3 linked regions of the Macaca mulatta genome follow. The protein of the gene in region 1 binds, or shares a complex with, the protein of each later gene. Links are inferred from orthologs where the notes say so. Each region holds a gene or a part of one and is shown on either strand. Other genes may lie near its edges.

The links. The genes of interacting proteins can lie anywhere in the genome.
Region 2: the proteins of SIRT3 (region 1) and ACSS1 are in contact, whole or in part, in a crystal structure (PDB 3GLT), measured with the Homo sapiens proteins. The link is inferred for Macaca mulatta from reciprocal best matches to the Homo sapiens genes SIRT3 and ACSS1. Residues at the interface, in NP_036371.1 of Homo sapiens: Gly145, Ala146, Gly147, Thr150, Pro151, Asp156, Phe157, Arg158, Ser159, Glu177, Phe180, Gln228, Asn229, Ile230, His248, Ile291, Val292, Phe293, Phe294, Gly295, Glu296, Pro297, Leu298, Gly319, Thr320, Ser321, Leu322, Glu323, Val324, Glu325; in NP_115890.2 of Homo sapiens: Ser640, Gly641, Lys642, Val643, Met644, Arg645.
Region 3: the proteins of SIRT3 (region 1) and SFN are in contact, whole or in part, in a crystal structure (PDB 8ANC), measured with the Homo sapiens proteins. The link is inferred for Macaca mulatta from reciprocal best matches to the Homo sapiens genes SIRT3 and SFN. Residues at the interface, in NP_036371.1 of Homo sapiens: Arg99, Arg100, Ser101, Ile102, Ser103, Phe104, Ser105, Val106, Gly107; in NP_006133.1 of Homo sapiens: Asn42, Ser45, Val46, Lys49, Arg56, Lys122, Asp126, Arg129, Tyr130, Pro167, Gly171, Leu174, Asn175, Val178, Tyr181, Glu182, Leu218, Ile219, Leu222, Asn226, Leu229, Trp230.

What each region holds. Positions count from the first base shown.
Region 1 is NC_133419.1:100,312-105,666, reverse strand, and holds part of SIRT3 (NAD-dependent protein deacetylase sirtuin-3, mitochondrial), read left to right. Parts: intron 1-4,436; coding exon 4,437-4,598; intron 4,599-5,355.
Region 2 is NC_133415.1:59,088,715-59,094,746, reverse strand, and holds the start of ACSS1 (acetyl-coenzyme A synthetase 2-like, mitochondrial), read right to left. Parts: upstream 3,961-6,032; 5' UTR 3,924-3,960; coding exon 3,593-3,923; intron 1-3,592. UniProt on the Homo sapiens protein: Catalyzes the synthesis of acetyl-CoA from short-chain fatty acids. Acetate is the preferred substrate. Can also utilize propionate with a much lower affinity. Provides acetyl-CoA that is utilized mainly for oxidation under ketogenic conditions.
Region 3 is NC_133406.1:214,121,131-214,125,703, forward strand, and holds SFN (14-3-3 protein sigma), read right to left. Parts: upstream 2,498-4,573; 5' UTR 2,433-2,497; coding exon 1,686-2,432; 3' UTR 1,661-1,685; downstream 1-1,660. UniProt on the Homo sapiens protein: Adapter protein implicated in the regulation of a large spectrum of both general and specialized signaling pathways. Binds to a large number of partners, usually by recognition of a phosphoserine or phosphothreonine motif.

The DNA.
Region 1 (5,355 bases):
CACTGTCATGTTTTGGTCACTATAGCTTTGTAGTAAGTTTTGAACTTAGGAAGTGTGAGTCCAGCACATATAGAAACTTAATATATGCGTATTATTCTTTTTATCAACTCATTCATTCATTGAATGACCAATTTATTCCACAAATAGTTTGGTCTGCTCAGTGCCAGGCCTTTTGCTGGGTTCTGTGGATGTGAAAACAAATTAAGGTGGAGTCATCCAACAGTTACAGTTGGGTGCCATACCAGTTTTACTGCAGATATGTACTGGATGCTATGCTGAGTCAGCTGTAGGAACAGAGCAGGCTGGGAAGCACCTTGGAGATGAGGCTGTCTGGGTGTAAGTCTGTTTCTGGCAGCAGAGACCTGGAGTATGGGAGGCCTGCTTGCCCTGTTAGGATTTGAACTGTATCCTGACGATCATGGGAGGCATTGAAGGATATTTAGGCAGGAAAATGATGTGAAGGGATTTGCATTTAAAAGAGATTATGAGGGGCTGGGCACAGTGGCTCACACCTGTAATGCCAGCACTTTGGGAGGCCTAGACAGGCAGGTCACCTGAGGTGGGGAGTTTGAGAGCAGCCTGGCCAAAATGGTGAAATCCCATCTCTACTAAAAATACAAAAATCAGCTGGGTGTAGTGGTGCACCTGTAATCCCAGATACTCAGGAGGCTGAGGCAGGAGAATCGCTTGAACCCGGGAGGGGGAGATTTCTGTGAGCTGAGATCGCACCACTGCACTCCAGCCTGGGTAACAGAGTGAGACTCCATCTCAAAACAAAATAAATAAATAAATAAGAGAATAAAATAGATAATTTGGGCAACAAGTTGTTTTTTTTTTTTTTTTTTTGAGACGGAGTCTCGCTCTGCCGCCCACGCTGGAGTGCAGTGGCCAGATCTCAGCTCACTGCAAGCTCCGCCTCCCAGGTTCACGCCATTCTCCTGCCTCAGCCTCCCGAGTAGCTGGGACTACAGGCGCCCGCCACCGCGCCCGGCTAGTTTTTTGTATTTTTTTAGTAGAGACGGGGTTTCACCGTGTTAGCCAGGATGGTCTCGATCTCCCGACCTCGTGATCCGCCCGTCTCGGCCTCCCAAAGTGCTGGGATTACAGGCTTGAGCCACCGCGCCCGGCCACAAGTTGTTGTTAATTCCCCGCCTTTGTTCTCCTCCTTCAGTACTGTGTTGGCTGTTCTGAATCTTTTGCCTTTTCATGTAAATTTCCGAAACTGTTGCTATCTGTTCTCTGCCTGTTTTATTTTTGTTGTTGTTGTTTGGGTTTTTTTTTTTTTTTTTTTTTTTTTTTTTTGAGACAGAGTCTTGCTCTGTCGCCCAGGCTGGAGTGCAACGGTATGATCTCGGCTCACTGCAACCTCCGCCTCCCAGGTTCTAGCGATTCTCTTGCCTCAGCCTCCTGAGTAGCTGGAATTACAGGCGCGTGCTGCCACGCCCAGCTAATTTTTGTATTTTTAGTAGAGATGGGGTTTCATCTCTACTATGGGGTCAGGCTGGTCTCGAACTCCTGATCTCGTGATCCGCCCACCTCAACCTCCCAAAGTGCTGGGATTACAGGCATGAGCCACCGTGTCCAGCCTCTCTGCCTGTTTTTTAAGACTTTTGTCTTTGGAGTTTTGCAGTTTCTCCATGCTGGTTTTCCATATGAATTTCCTTTGATTTCTTCTGCGTAAAATTTGTGGGCCAGGTGGGCGCAGAGGCTCACGCCTGTAATCCCAACACTTTGGGAGACCAGGTGGGTGGATCGCCTGAGGTCAGGAGTTCGAGACCAGCCTGACCAACATGGAGAAACCCCATCTCTACTAAAAATACAAAATTAGCCGGGCATGATGGTGCATGCCTATAATCTCAGCTACTCGGGAGGCTGAGGCAGGAGAATTGCTTGAACCCAGGAGGTGGAGGTTGTGGTGAGCCAATATTAGGCCATTGCACTCCAGCCTGGGAAACAGGAGAGAGACTCCATCTCAAAAAAAAAAAAAAAAAAAATTGTAGACCTTCCTTGAGAAAAATAAAATACAATTCTAGGCCAGGCGCGGTGGCTCATGCCTGTAATCCCAGCACTTTGGGAAGCTGAGGCGGATGGATCACCTGAATTAGGAGTTTGAGACCAGCCTGGCCAACATGGTGAAACCCCGTCTCTACTAAAAATACAAAAATGAGTCACGTGTGGTGGCACCCATCTGTAATCCCAGCTACTTGGGAAGCTGAGGCAAGAGAATTGCTGGAACCCAGGAGGCAGAGGTTGCAGTGAGCCGAGATTATGCTACTGCACTCCAGCCTGGGTGACAGAGTAAGATGCCATCTCAAAAAAATAAAATACAAAATAAAATTCTAAGCCCTGCAACCAACTGAATGGACCCCTCCCCTTGGTCAAGGGAACCCCAGAGAAACCTTGGAAGTCAGTTCCTGGCCATAGCAGGAGGGGAGGTCAGATGCGCCTCATTATACCCCTCCCTCCCCAACCACCATTAGGCTTTCTTCACTAAGGGCTAAACAGAAACCAACACTTTTCAAAGACTCCATACTGCTAATGTGGATTACTGGCTTATCTTCCCAGATACAGATCAAAGGCAAGATGAGATGAATGGTTCCTTCACCCTTCCCTGAGAGGTCTGCTTAGTTCTCTTCCTCTGTTTCCTTCTGTCACTTCCTGAAGTCTCACAAGTACTTAACCATTCACCTCACAGCCACCCTCCCCCTTTGAAGGACCACGTATAATTACTAAACCTCCTGAGAACCTCTTGGGACAAAACCACAGATGTGCTTGTGACTCATGTTTTTCCTGTGGGCACCCTCATGCTGGCTCAGTAGCCCTCGCTTGCTTGAGATCCTGAATCTGTGGGTTGGTGTCTTTCATGGTTGCTGGATAATACTCGGCTGTTATCTTGGGATATGCATTGCCCCTGGCCCACTATCTGGCCCCTCTCTTTAGGGACCTCTGATTGAACCTACGTTAGTCCTTCTCTCTCCTGCTGTTCCTGATCACTCTTCTGTTCTTTCATTGCTCCTCCTTGTGCTGCGTTCTGGGTGATTTCTTCTGGTCTTTCTTCCGGTTTGCTAATATTGTGTTTTCTGTTATAAAGTCCTTCCATTGAGTGTTTGCTGCTTTCTTTTTTCCCAAAACCAACTCGAAACAGACGTTGAGCTTTAATTTTTTATTTCTGTACTTTTTATTTCTAGAAGTTCTGTTTGGTTATTTTTCACGTCTGCTACATTATTTTTTAATAGTTTTGTATCTTTGATAGTTTTTTTTTTTTTTTTGAGATGGAGTCTCACTCTGTTGCCCAGGCTGCAGTGCAGTGGCGCAATCTCAGCTCACTGCAACCTCTGCCTCCCTGGTTCAAGCAATTCCCCTGCCACAGCCTCCCAAGTAGCTGGGATTACAGGTGCGCACCACCACGCCTGGCTAATTGTTTGTGTTTTAGTAGAGACAGGGTTTCACCATGTTGGCCAAGACAGTCTGATCTCCTGACCTCATAATCCGCCCACCTCGGCCTCCCAAAGTGCTGGGATTACAGGCCTGAGCCACTGCGCCCGGCCTTTAATAGATTTTTCAAGTTCGTCTTTTTTTTGCTTCCTTAATTTTTTTTTTTTTTTACTATACCCCATGCCTCCAAGATAACAGTTTTTTCTTTTTAATTTAGATATAATACAGTTTTACTGTGTATCCAAGATTATCTGAAATCTTTTGTGGGTCTCTTTCTTTTGTCTTTTGTTTCTGTTGCTTCTTGCTGGATTGAGCCTGCTTAAAACAAGCCCCGTTAGCGGTAAAGGTTTCCCTTAGAAAGTCAGGTGTCTTCCTCTGTAACTCTCTCCCTTTTCCATCTGCTCCAAGGCATTAGTTTATATTAGTCTTGACTCAGTGAAGTTGTGTCTACTTCACCTTGGCCAGTAGGGAAGCAGTGTTTGGCAGATGTTACTCCTAATAATGCCAGCCAGTGAGTGAAGCCGACCTGAAAGCCTCCCCGGGCTGAGGCAATGGCATGATCACTGAAGCTCAAACCAGAGACAGTTTCACCTTGTGACCGAATGATGTTCGGTGTAGGCCAAATGCCTGCAGACTACTGTTGGAGGACCGGTGTGGTCTACCAGGTGTTTTCTTAGCACCAGAATGTCTCTGGTCACCATCCCAGGTGTAGAGCACGGTGTTAGATACGCTAGATGCCTGCCGAAGTAATAATGGGTGAAACGTATGATGTCCAAGATTTGCTTTTAAATGCTCCAACACCTCCTCCCAGATTCTGGAGGGCTATGACACAATCAGCTGTGAAAACTGGTAATTCCTAAAGCTGGGTACATGGGGGTTCATGATACCTCTCCCACCTTTTTTGGGGGAGAATGTTTGACACTTTAATAAGAACTTGTTGCCTTTTCCTTTTACAGGGTGTTGCAGGTATCTTCCTCAGGCCTGTTTTCTCTGTTTTCCAGGCTGACGTGATGGCAGACAGGGTTCCCCGCTGCCCGGTCTGCACCGGCGTTGTGAAGCCCGACATTGTGTTCTTTGGGGAGCCGCTGCCCCAGAGGTTCCTGCTGCACGTGGTTGATTTCCCCATGGCAGATCTGCTGCTCATCCTCGGGACCTCCCTGGAGGTTTGTCAGCCTGTGCAGGGAGGAGGCTGGAGGGCAGGGGAAGGGAGGGGTACAGAAATCATCTCATGGGCCCTTCTGGGGCTGGTGCCACTTTTGGAAAGTGAGTGGATTCAGCTGGGGTTCCAGGCTGAGGGAACAGCAGCCTGTGCGGGAGACAGGAAGGTAGGAAGCTGCTGGGCTTTGGAGGTGGTATAGGTGCGGGTGGGGCACCACGTGTGAGGAGAAGGGAGGAGGAAAGGGGGCGTCGGGATGAGGTGGAGGGGCAGGCCTCCCAGGTCAGATTAGGAATACTGATGCTGCGTTGGGAGTAGTGATAAATCCAAAGGGACTGGCCCAGGGACGTAGCTGCACCCTTGGGGTCAGAGAGGCCTTTGGGGAGTGGAGAGTGGAGCAAGCAGTGCCAGGAGGCTGGTCCTGAAGAAGGTGGAGCTGTGGTCACCTGAGGGACAGCGAGGAGGGGGACTGGACTTGCAGCCTGTGTTGTTTTGGGGGTGTGAGAAGGAGGCGTCTGGCTTGTTCTGTAAAGTCAGGGCATTTGCTGGTGAGGCGTGATTTGGGAGGGAGGATGCCCAGCTCGGTTCTGTGCATGTCTCAGGTGCCTGGGAAACGCCCCCTGGATGTGGCCAAGCAGCTGTTCTGCATCTGCGTCTGAAGCTCAGGAAATTCCTAAAAGCTGTGATGAGTCACGCAGTGTGTGTGTGACTGGATATAGGCACCAAGGGCAGAAGGGCCAGAAAGACCTGTGCTTCGAGGGGCC
Region 2 (6,032 bases), on another chromosome or scaffold:
CTATTGGAGTTGCGGGATGAGCAGGATACTGTGGTGTTTTGAAAGCCACCTCAGCCACCTGCATGCTCTCCGAAGCCTATTCCCCACCTATCCCAGGCTGATCAGATGCAAGCTCATGTGGTCCAGTTCAAATGAAGCTCAGCTCTCTCAGCAGCACTGCTGAAGGCCAAGCACAAGGTCACAGCCTCCCCACATGCTTCATTAATAAATAACAAATGGCCAGTGATTGGGGATGTATAATGTGTTAAGAAAGTGCTGAGTGCCTTACAAGCGTTTTCTTATTTCATTCTAACAGCCCTGGGGTATGTGTGCTGATAGATACTCCGATGGATAACAAAACAGGTGCAAACAGTCAGGTCCCCTTCCCCAGGTCAGAAGATGCCTAATAGTGTCTGTGCTGGTCTCTTGGACCTCTGGTTGCCGGACATTGCCTGGGCCCAGCCACCACGCTGTGACAAGCCCCAGGAGGTGCTTTGGGTCACAGGTCTGGCTGAAGTCAGCCTGCAAGTTGTCCCAAACCAGGCCCCAGACTTGGGAGTGAGAAACAGGCAGATGACTCCAACCTCAGACATTGAGGAGCAGAAGCAAGTGTTAAATAAAATGTATAGGAGGCCACTGGTCTGGACTGAGCCGCATCAGGCCCAATAGATCACACAAAAATGGAGTCACTCTTGCTAAAGTGCCGTGTCACCAAATGGAAACTAAGTTGTTTATCTAGCCTTCTAAGAAACAAGGAGAGTGAGAGATAGCTCGATCTCCAAACAAGCTGGCATAGTAAGGGAGCTCCTTCCACTTTCACCTTTACAGCAAAAGTAGCTTTGAAATAACCAGTCCACTTTTTGTTCTCCGTGTCCGCATTCTTCAGACCCTTCTGTCTATAAAACCATCCTCCTCTGCTCAACTCATCAAACATTCATTCTGTTTTATGGAATTAGGTGTTTCCCAATTCTATAATCACGAAAAAAGTGAATTAAGATCTTTAAACTAAATTTGTCGGAATTTTGCCCTTTGACACAAGTCATCCCCATCTGGCCCTGTCCAAAGTTCTGACCCACAGACTCTGCGAGGAATATAAAATTGTTGTTATCTTGTACCACTAAGCTTAGGGGTGGTTTGATGTGCATCGATAGTAACTAGGACATAATTCAGTTACATACTGCCCTTGTTTTACAGATGAGGAAACATGCAAAGTGCAGTACAGGGAAAGCAAGAAATCAACCCGAGTCCTGATTCTAAAGACACCTGGAGCCACAAAACGGTGTTGCACCATCCACAGCCCATTGTTTGTTTGCTCTTTGTTTAACAGGGCCATGGCCGGGCACTAATCCCAATTCTGTTTCAGAAGTGCCTTCATCTGCCCTGTTTTGAGGCGTACAGACCAGTGGTTCTCAAGCCCGAGTGTCCTCTAGAGCACCTGAAGGGCTCGTTATAAACACAGGTGTCAGGTCCCACCCAGGGTTTCTGATTCCAGATATCCAGGATGGGCTTCAGAATTTCTGTTTCTCAAAAGTTCTCAGGTAATGCTGATGCTGCTGGTCTGAGGACCATGCGTTGAGAACCACTGGTATTCTTGAAGGAGTGAGATGAAGTTTTCTTCAAGAGTGATATTCCTTTGGAACAAGCCATCTGACTTTATCACACACAGCTGACAGATCAGGCCAAAGTGTTCTCACCTATCCCATGACTTTCTAGGGGCTCCCAGAGGAGTCATGGCCTGGCCTGGCCCTTTTTCATACTGTCCCCACTATGGTTTGCAGACACCGACAAAGGAAAGAGATATTGCTGACCCATGAACAGGTGGGCACGCACATCCCGGGGAGAAAGTTGCTGAAAAGCTGTTTTTCAAGTTAGTTTTCTGAAGCTCAATTTCTGGCTAAGGTAGCCGTAAAGGCCATATTATCAGGAGAAATAAGTGAAGGAAAAGGAGACAGAAGAATGCTTGCTGACCACACCCTGATCCTGACCCAGCGAGGTTCAGAAGGTCCTTGCTGTTGGCCCCAGGAGGTCCGCCCCGCTGTCTTATCTGAGTGGGGCTGCAACTGTGCACAGGCCAACTGTGAATGTTCCCCATGACCTTGGCCTCACAAGTCCAGAGCAGGTCACTTTCCATTTCTGTCCTTGGGCAAGCTGCTCTAGTCCCCTTCAAGGGCACATTGCACCAACTCTGCAAACCAAAGGGTTTGGTTTTTTTCCCAGTAGTTAGAGGGCACTTGCTGCTGACTCAAGGTTAAAGAAAACACTTATCTAGTTAAGTGACTCATTTTAATTAAACCAGCAAAGTAATATACAATATCGGGGGGAGGTCCAAAGTTCCTTTCAATTTCTTTGAAAACTAACTACAAGACACTACCAAGACACTACCTACTATGGCTATATCTGCAGTTAAACTAAAATCGCTACTGCCTGTGGGTCACCAGTAAGAGCTGGGTCTGCTGCATACCTTGCAGCACTCAGCCTAACCTCTGAGCATAACTGCCCCCCTCCTCACAATGTGGACACTGAGGGCTAGGGGGGCAGAACAACAGGGATAACTGAGGGAGGAGCTGGAGAAAATGGGGCCCTGGTGACCCTGCCATAAAGACCCTCAAGTCCTTTCTCAAACACTCCCAAATCCAGCAAGCTGGTTATGGCCACTCTTCTGGCCTGCATCCCTCTGATCAACACCGTGTCTGCCAGGCCCTCCCTGCAGGCCCCACACCCAGGCCCACCCTGCATCCAGGGCCCACCCTGCACTTGGCACCCACCCTGCGTGGCCAGCCCTGCCTGCAGTTCAGGGCTTCCCCCTCGCTGCCCAGTCAGCGCCTTAGGTGGGGGCGAGGGTGCAGTGTACGACCCCCAGCCCCAAATCTTAGCAGAGCAGCAGAGGCCTCTGCTCAGCAAGTTTCAGACCACTGACCACCGGGAACCTCAGACCCCGCGGGTCCAAAGCAGGCCTTGGGTCGCTGGGGTGCAGTTCTCTGAGGCCGAGAACGAGAACCCGGAGGCCGCTGTTACTTCCTTCCCGCCCACAGGCCCCAGGCCCGCAGCGAGGAAATAACTGGTTCCAGCTGCCACGCCGGGTTTCCTCCTCCCCAGGTCGCCCGCCACAGCTCTGTTTGTTTATGTGGGCAGGGCTTGTCCTCAGGCTGATCCCCGGGCACCGCAGCCCCCAGTGACAACCGCCACCGCTTTGTTTTTCCGTCCACCCCGGTATAGCAACGGGAAAGTCCCGACTCCAGGGCGCTCGGGTGTAGCCCGCGGCTCCCCGCCGGCTCTGGCTCCGCGGCGCTATGCACTCGGTAACGCAACTCTGGAGTCAGCAGAGCGAGGAGCCGCGCCGAGCAAGGCCAGCAGCGGGGCGTCCCAAGCGGCCACCGGGTCCCCGCGGGCACCGGCCCGAGCTGGGCACGTGGATCTGGGGCCGGATGGGATGAGGGACGGGGTGACGTGGAGCCACTGCTTAGAGCTGGCGGGACGGACGGAATACCGGAGGAGGGGCCCCTGCAGGGGTGCGATCCGCGCAGCCGGGGGACGGCTGCCGCAGGCGAGAGGCTCCGAGTTCCCTCTGGACGCAAGAGTTGGGGGCGACCTGGGTCTCCCGAAGCTCACTCACCAGAGACGTTTAACTGGCCTCCCAGGAACCAGCCGATCTTGCCAGTGCTGAAGTCGCAGTCCCAGACGGTGTGGTAGGGGGTGTCCCACAGTAGAGTGTCCCGCGCCAGAGGCCCCCAGAAGGCGGCCGGCTCCCGGGCTGCCTGTGCACTCAGCGCGGGGTACGAGCCGGGCTGTGAGGCTGCGGCAACTGCGGGGGCGCTGCCCGAGGGTCCCGAGGCCGCCCTGCGCGGCGCGCTCACCCGACACAGCGGCCGCGCGGGCTGCCCCGAGAGCCCTCGCAGGCTGCCCAGCAGCCTCCCGACGCCGCGGCCCAGGCTGCGCGCCGCCATCTAGCCGGACTACCTGAGTTCTCTGTGCTTCCAGAGTGGGTGCCTCACGCCCGGGGCGCCCCTTGGAGTCTCCGCGGGCCCCGCCCCTGCTCCGCCCTTCGGCCACCATCCATTCCTCCAGGGCCCCTTCCCAGAGCCCGCCCGGGTCCCACCCCTTCTGCTGCCCGGGAGAGGGGGGGACGCTTAGGAAGAGGGGAGCAGCGTGGGGAAGGGGTGCAGAGGAGCGCGGGGCGGAGCCCAGGCTCCCAGGCCCTGGCCCAGGCGCTGTGCTCCCGCGGGTCTGCAGTCCCCCCCCGACGTTCCTCGCGTCGGCCTGTTTTGGTTTCAGTTTGCGCGCTCTCCTGCAAGCCCCGACAGCTTCTTCGAGCTGCCAGAGGCACGTGCGGCCCAGGACTAGGGGGCCCTCTGGGATGGGAAGGAGGCGGGAGGGAGCCGGTACCAACGTTAAGAGGGCTGGTGCACCCAAGCGCACTGTTGGGTCCCAAGACGATAGGTCGGTCAGTTCCGCATCTCAGAGGCTGAAGTAAGGTTTTCATGCCTTTGTGCGCCCTTGAGAGTGAACCCCTCCCCTGGCTTCTCAGCGGAATGCGAAGGAGGTTGGCGGGGAGCCCAGAAGCCGGGAGGCTGCGCAGGCCTGAGTCCGTGGTCTGGGGTCCCATGCTCCAGCCCCCCAGCTGCTGGCCTCCGTCCTGGCGGGGGTCACGTTCTGCTGGGGGTCGGTGGTGGGTGATATGGGGCGATGAGGACTTTATCCAGTTGCTCCAGCATCTGTGGCCTGAGTTCAAATTCTGTGACCTTGAGCAAGTTCCGTAACTTGTCGGTGCCTCGTTTTCCTTTTGGGGGAAACGGAAGTAATGCCTCCCTGGGGGACAGGGACGGCGGGGGTGGAGAGCTGCAGTAAGGAATACATCAGACAATGTCTGTCAAGCGTCTACCCTTGCGTGGCCCCATAGTAAGCTCAGTAGTGGGGGTGATGTTTTTGCAGCTGTGGAGCCAGGAAGGACAGAAGGAAACGTATAAAACTGGTCTCCACCGAGTTCTTAAATATTTCGACACCCAAGAAGTAAATTCATAACAAAGGGGTAAACATAGGGGAAGAGAGGTTTTGGAAAACTGGTTTCTTGAGTTCTTTCTGATGTTAAAGTTTCTTTCCCTTGAGCTGTAGGGCTTGCAGAGGGGAGGAGCCTGCCATTAGAGGAGCCTCTGCGTGGGCCAGCCACCAGCCCCTGCTGGGGAATGCTGCTGTCTGCCAGAGAAGACAGGAATGTACCTAAGGGCTGGAGAATCAGTGACATCTACTAGCATAACACATGCCCTGCACAATGCTCGCACTTGACCTGCATTTTCTCCTTTGTTTATTTATTTATGATACTTTTTTAGAGATAGGGTCTGTAGCCCAGGCTGGAGTGCAGTGGTTCCCATCATAGCTTACTACAGCCTGGAACTCCTGAGCTCAAGCGATCCTCCTGACTCAGCCTCCTGAGTATATGGAACTACAAGCGTGTGCCACGACACCCGGCTAGTCTACTTAATTTAAAACTTATCTAGTGCTGTCCACCCCCCACCGACTGTCAAACTCCAGGTGGAACAAATGAGGAAACTGAACCCAAACAAATAAAAGGGCTTACTAAAGAGCATTCGACTGGCTAAGGGAAGAGCAAGACTAATACCCAGTGCCCCCAGTGGGGAGCTCTTTGGCCTAAGTTCCCATTTGAATAGAATATTAAAGACACCCAGTATAGGGCACTGAGAGGCAGACGTCAGTGAGTAGTAAAATTGTAAATTGAGAAAGCTCTTAACTGTAGCAGGTGGTCACATAGATGGCTACCAACTCTTCCTTCCCATACCTGCATGTGATGGCGCGCTGCTCTGTCCAGAGGAGGACCCTGGCTGGCTGTATTGCTTTGGCCAGTACAACCTGGTGGGAGGGATGCTCTGACAGTTCCACCTGGAGGCCCTGAGAGACCCTGCAGCCCCAGCTTGTCCTCCCATGGAACCCAGCTGCGAGCTGTGAGGAAGCAGGGCTGGCCTTCCAGAGGAAGGGGCCAAGGGAGAGAATAAAGCTGCCCCATGCACAGCCAGGACCAAATCCCAGACAGGAACGAGGCC
Region 3 (4,573 bases), on another chromosome or scaffold:
CCAAGTCCCTTATGATACAAGAGGGAAACTGAGGCCCAGGGATGTATAACGGCTTTTCCAAGGTCGCACAGCCAGCCAGCCAGGGACACAATCCAAGTCTCGGCGACAGGTCCAGGGCTGCCTGGACTCCGGAGTGTGGTGGGGGCATCTTGGCGGCCTTTTTCCAGCCGACCCCGCCGCCAGCCCGGCCCAGGCCCAGCCGGGTGAGCTGATGACTCAACGGGCGGGCACTGCATTTTGCTATCCTGCCTCGTCCCGCTGCTCTAGAGGGTTCCCAGCTCTCGGGCCAGACGGGTGACAACTTGTCTGAGTGAAACCGGGAAAGCGCCGCCCCTCGGCGCTCAGCAGGCGGCGGGGGCGCCGCTCAGTCAGTCAGCTAGTTGTGGCGTCCGCCAGGCCTGGCGGGCGGCGGGAAACTCGCCGCGCGCGGTCCGCCGCTCAGTTTCCCATTGGCTCGTCGGGCCCCCCGGGGTGGTACCCTGGGGCAGCTCCCTCCTGTGATTGGGTGGCAGAGCCTCGGGCCCCGCCTCCAGTCCTGGCTGTGAAGGCGAGACCCAGCAATGCGGCCGCAGGTTCCGGCGTGTTGCTGGCTGCAGAGAGCGGAGGCGGCGGGCTCGGTAGGCAACGCTCCCAGCGGCCATTCCCACCCAGCTCGTCCTTCCTCCCCACCAGCCCGTTTCCTTTTGTCTCCATTTCCGAACTCTTTGGGACGTGACCCTCTCCTAAGATCTGGGCTTTTATGGCGGCACTGTACCCCTGCCTCAAATCGTACTTCCCTCCGCTGAGATCTGAGCCCTTGATGAGACTGTGACCCGCCTGTAAATCGGGTGCTCAGTGCCGCTCACTACTGCAGCGCTGTCCTTAGATCTCATGCCGGAGACTTCACTATTTCCTGTCCCGCTCCACCTGAGCTCGTCAGCCTCCCGCGCTGCGGCTCCCACTCACCTCCCCTCGGCCCTGCAGAGGAGGCTCGGCGCCTCCTGTGGGTTCACCTGACCCTCCCGGTCCCATCCAGTTTGATGGGGCCGCCCTGATGGAGACAGCCGGACCCCGGCCTCACCTGGACTCAAAGTCTTGCGTGCAGGTCACTGAGCCACGCAGGGAGGTCAGGGCCCTAACTCAGAGGTCGAAAGTCAGGATCTCTAAATCAGATTCCAGTTCCACTCCCAACCCATCGCCAAGAACTGGAGAGAGACAGGAGGAGTGTCACAGGGGAACTTTATTGAGAGGAAACATGGTCACACCCAGCAGACATGCTTTCCTTCAATGTCGGTCTTGCACTGGCGCGCGCGCGCGCACACACACACACCCATCTCCAGCCCCTGCCACTGTCCAGTTCTCAGCCACAAGGCGGGACATTCCTCAATTCCTACGACCAGAGGCAGCAGGGGCAGGAGTGAGGCAAGAGGGAGGGGAGAAGTAGCCTGGTCCTGGGGTCGGGAGGAAGCGGTGCGGAGAGCAGTGCTGGGGTCATGACCAGTGGTTAGGTGCGCTCAACAGCTGCAAGAAGAGTGGGATCCCCAGCCCCAGGTGGCCTCAGCTCTGCCAGTCCCTCTCCACGGAGCCGTTTGGAGTAAGAACAGCGCCTGGGGGAGAAGGGTGGGGCCTCCCACCCCATATTAGTCCTCTCGGCAGGGTGGGGGACTGAAGGGGGCAGGGCAGGGTGGGGCGGTGGTGGGCAACACTCAGCTCTGGGGCTCCTGGGGAGCCTCGCCCCCCTCTTCCCCGGCGTTGTCGGCCGTCCACAGCGTCAGGTTGTCTCGCAGCAGCTGCATGATGAGGGTGCTGTCTTTGTAGGAGTCCTCGCTGAGGGTGTGCAGATCAGCCATGGCCTCATCGAAAGTGGTCTTGGCCAGCGAGATGGCCTCCTCGGGGCTGTTGGCGATCTCGTAGTGGAAGACGGAAAAGTTCAGGGCCAGGCCCAGGCGGATGGGATTGGTGGGCGGCATCTCCTTCTTGCTGATGTCCATGGCCTCCTGGTAGGCTGACCGGGCTGAGTCGATGATGCGCTTCTTGTCGTCACCAGTGGCCACCTCGGCCAAGTAGCGGTAGTAGTCGCCCTTCATCTTCAGGTAGAAGACCCTGCTCTCCGCGTCCCCAGCCTCCTTGATGAGATGGCTGTCCAGCAGGCCCAGCACGGTGTCGCACACGCCCCGGAGCTCAGTCTCCACCTTCTCCCGGTACTCACGCACCTCGGGGCCCTTCTCCTCCGAGCCCTCCTCGTTGCTTTTCTGCTCAATACTGGACAGGACCCTCCAGGCAGCCCTCTGGCCGCCCACCACATTCTTGTAGGCTACTGAGAGCAGGTTTCGCTCTTCGCAGGAGAGCTCCTCACCTTTCTCCACGGCGCCCTTCATGAAGGCTGCCATGTCCTCATAACGTTCGGCCTGCTCTGCCAGCTTGGCCTTCTGGATCAGACTGGCTCTCTCCATGGCTCTGGGGACACACAGGCGGGCGGCGGGCTAACTGCTGCCTGGGACCAATGCCGGACTCTGTGCCTCTCCTGCTCTTGGCCTGCCTTTTGGCTGGGTGGCCAGGCCCAGAGAAGGGTGGGGAGGAGCAGGGGGCGGGACCAGGGCCCAAGACCTGCCTCCGTCTCCTCTCCTCCCCACACCCTTTCCGGCTCTGCAGTAAAGGTAAAAAGGCTGGGATGTGGGGGTGAGTCATCAGAACAGTCAGCAGAAGAAATCTGGGCGTGGGCCCCACCTGCACAGGCACCTTTCCAGGCTCTAGGCTGCCCCCTCTTGTTCGGGGCTGGCATCATATGGCTGCTCACATCAGGAAACTGCCTGGCTTCTCAAATCAGATCCTCCTTCACAGCGCCCTTACAGAGGCTAAGGGCGGCTTTAGCCCCTGGCTGCTTCTGCCTCGACAGAGCCCATAAAGGTTCAGGAGGATGGGGTTCCCAATCCTGCCAGGTAACTTCTCCCCTTGATTCAGGTGAGGATAACTCATGTTTAGGTAGGGCCATAGAGTTTCCCAAGCACTTTCATATTCACCATCGAATTTAATCCCCACTGTGTCTCTGTGACACACACAGGACCACAGAGATGGGAACACTAAGTCTCAGAGAGGGGTGAGATTTGCTCAAAGTCACATAGCCACCACTTCCCTGAAACTCCTTTCTGCACCCTGCTTCCTTTAGCTTTTCTCCCGTTGAAGTCTCTGACCTATGAGCTCCAGGCTGTGTTTGGAAGTGAGATCCAGGCTCTTTCTCAATCTACCTGAAGATGGTTCCATCCCTCAGGCCTCACTCCCCCTCAGGGTCCCCTCTGAGCTCCCAGAATGCGCAGGTGGCAGCTTTCAGAGTGCCACTTAATGAAGTGTTTAACAAGCAGCCTCTGACGCTCCAGCCCAGCCTTTGTAATTAGTCACCCAGTAGGTTTGTTGTACACATTTCCCATCACTACACAATTTTCCCTTTCAAGTTGGTGGCCTGTTGCCACTTGTTTGAGGATTTACCCTCTGGCCCTCCACACCAGGTCACTTGCCCTCTCCAAGCCACATGCCATCAGGTACCAGTGGGGTTCACAGAGGGTGGGGTCCAGCTCCCCGGCTGTCCCACTTTCCTGCCTGACTCAGACTGCTCTCTGTCTGAGGCTGGGAAGCAGTCCAGTTTGATCCCCCAGGGGGGACGCTAGCAACCTGGGGAGAGAGAGGACTGAGAAAGGGAGGTGGCAGTGACACATACCATTCTGTTTTATGGGGCAGCAATCCCAGCTACGTGATGCCTCCCCCAGCCTGTCTCTCAGAAGTTTCCCTGTTCCTTCCTTTTTTTTTTTTTTTTTTTTTTAAATAGAGACAGGATCTCACTACATTGCCCAGGCAGGTCTCAAACTCCTGGGCTCAAGCAATTCTCCTGCCTCAGCCTCCCAAACTGCTGGGATTATGGGCATGAGCCACTTCCTTCCTTTTGACCATTACCCCACCTCTGACCCCTGGCAGAGTCCTCAGATGGAGACCTCTGTTGCCAACCTTCTTTCCCTGCTTGCTGGGGCCCTGGCCTCAAGTTTCATCAGGAGTTTCACCAAAGGGTGTTGGCATTGAGCCTACAGGGATGGATTCCTGCTTATCTGCCCCACCCCTAGCCAAAGCTTAGATGGGCCTCGGGTACGGCTCCTTTCACTGGGATTCTGCCCGCCTAATAGTTGAGCTAGGATAATTTCACAGGCCTGTGTCTCCCCCAGGTACCCTGAGTGTCTGAACACTCATCTTCCCTCCTAGAGGGAGGCTTAGGCCAGAACTCTGGGGACCAAAGATGAGATTCTTCTCTTTTGCCACAAGGAGGAGTAGGGACATGTCTGGACTAATGCTACAGGGTTTCCAAGGAAGTAAAGGGGATTTCAGGTTTGACAGCCCAAAGATTTTGCTCAATTCAGAGAACTGATGTAGAAAACGATAGGAACCACACGAAAATACCAGCTTATAGAGGGTATCTTGAGGTAGTGAGACTGACTGATTTTGCTTCCCCTTTTCTTTTCTATTTTCTTTTTTTGGGATAGGGTCTCACTCTGTTGTCCAGGCTGAAGTACAGTGGTATGATCACAGCTCACTGCACTCTCAACTTCCTTGG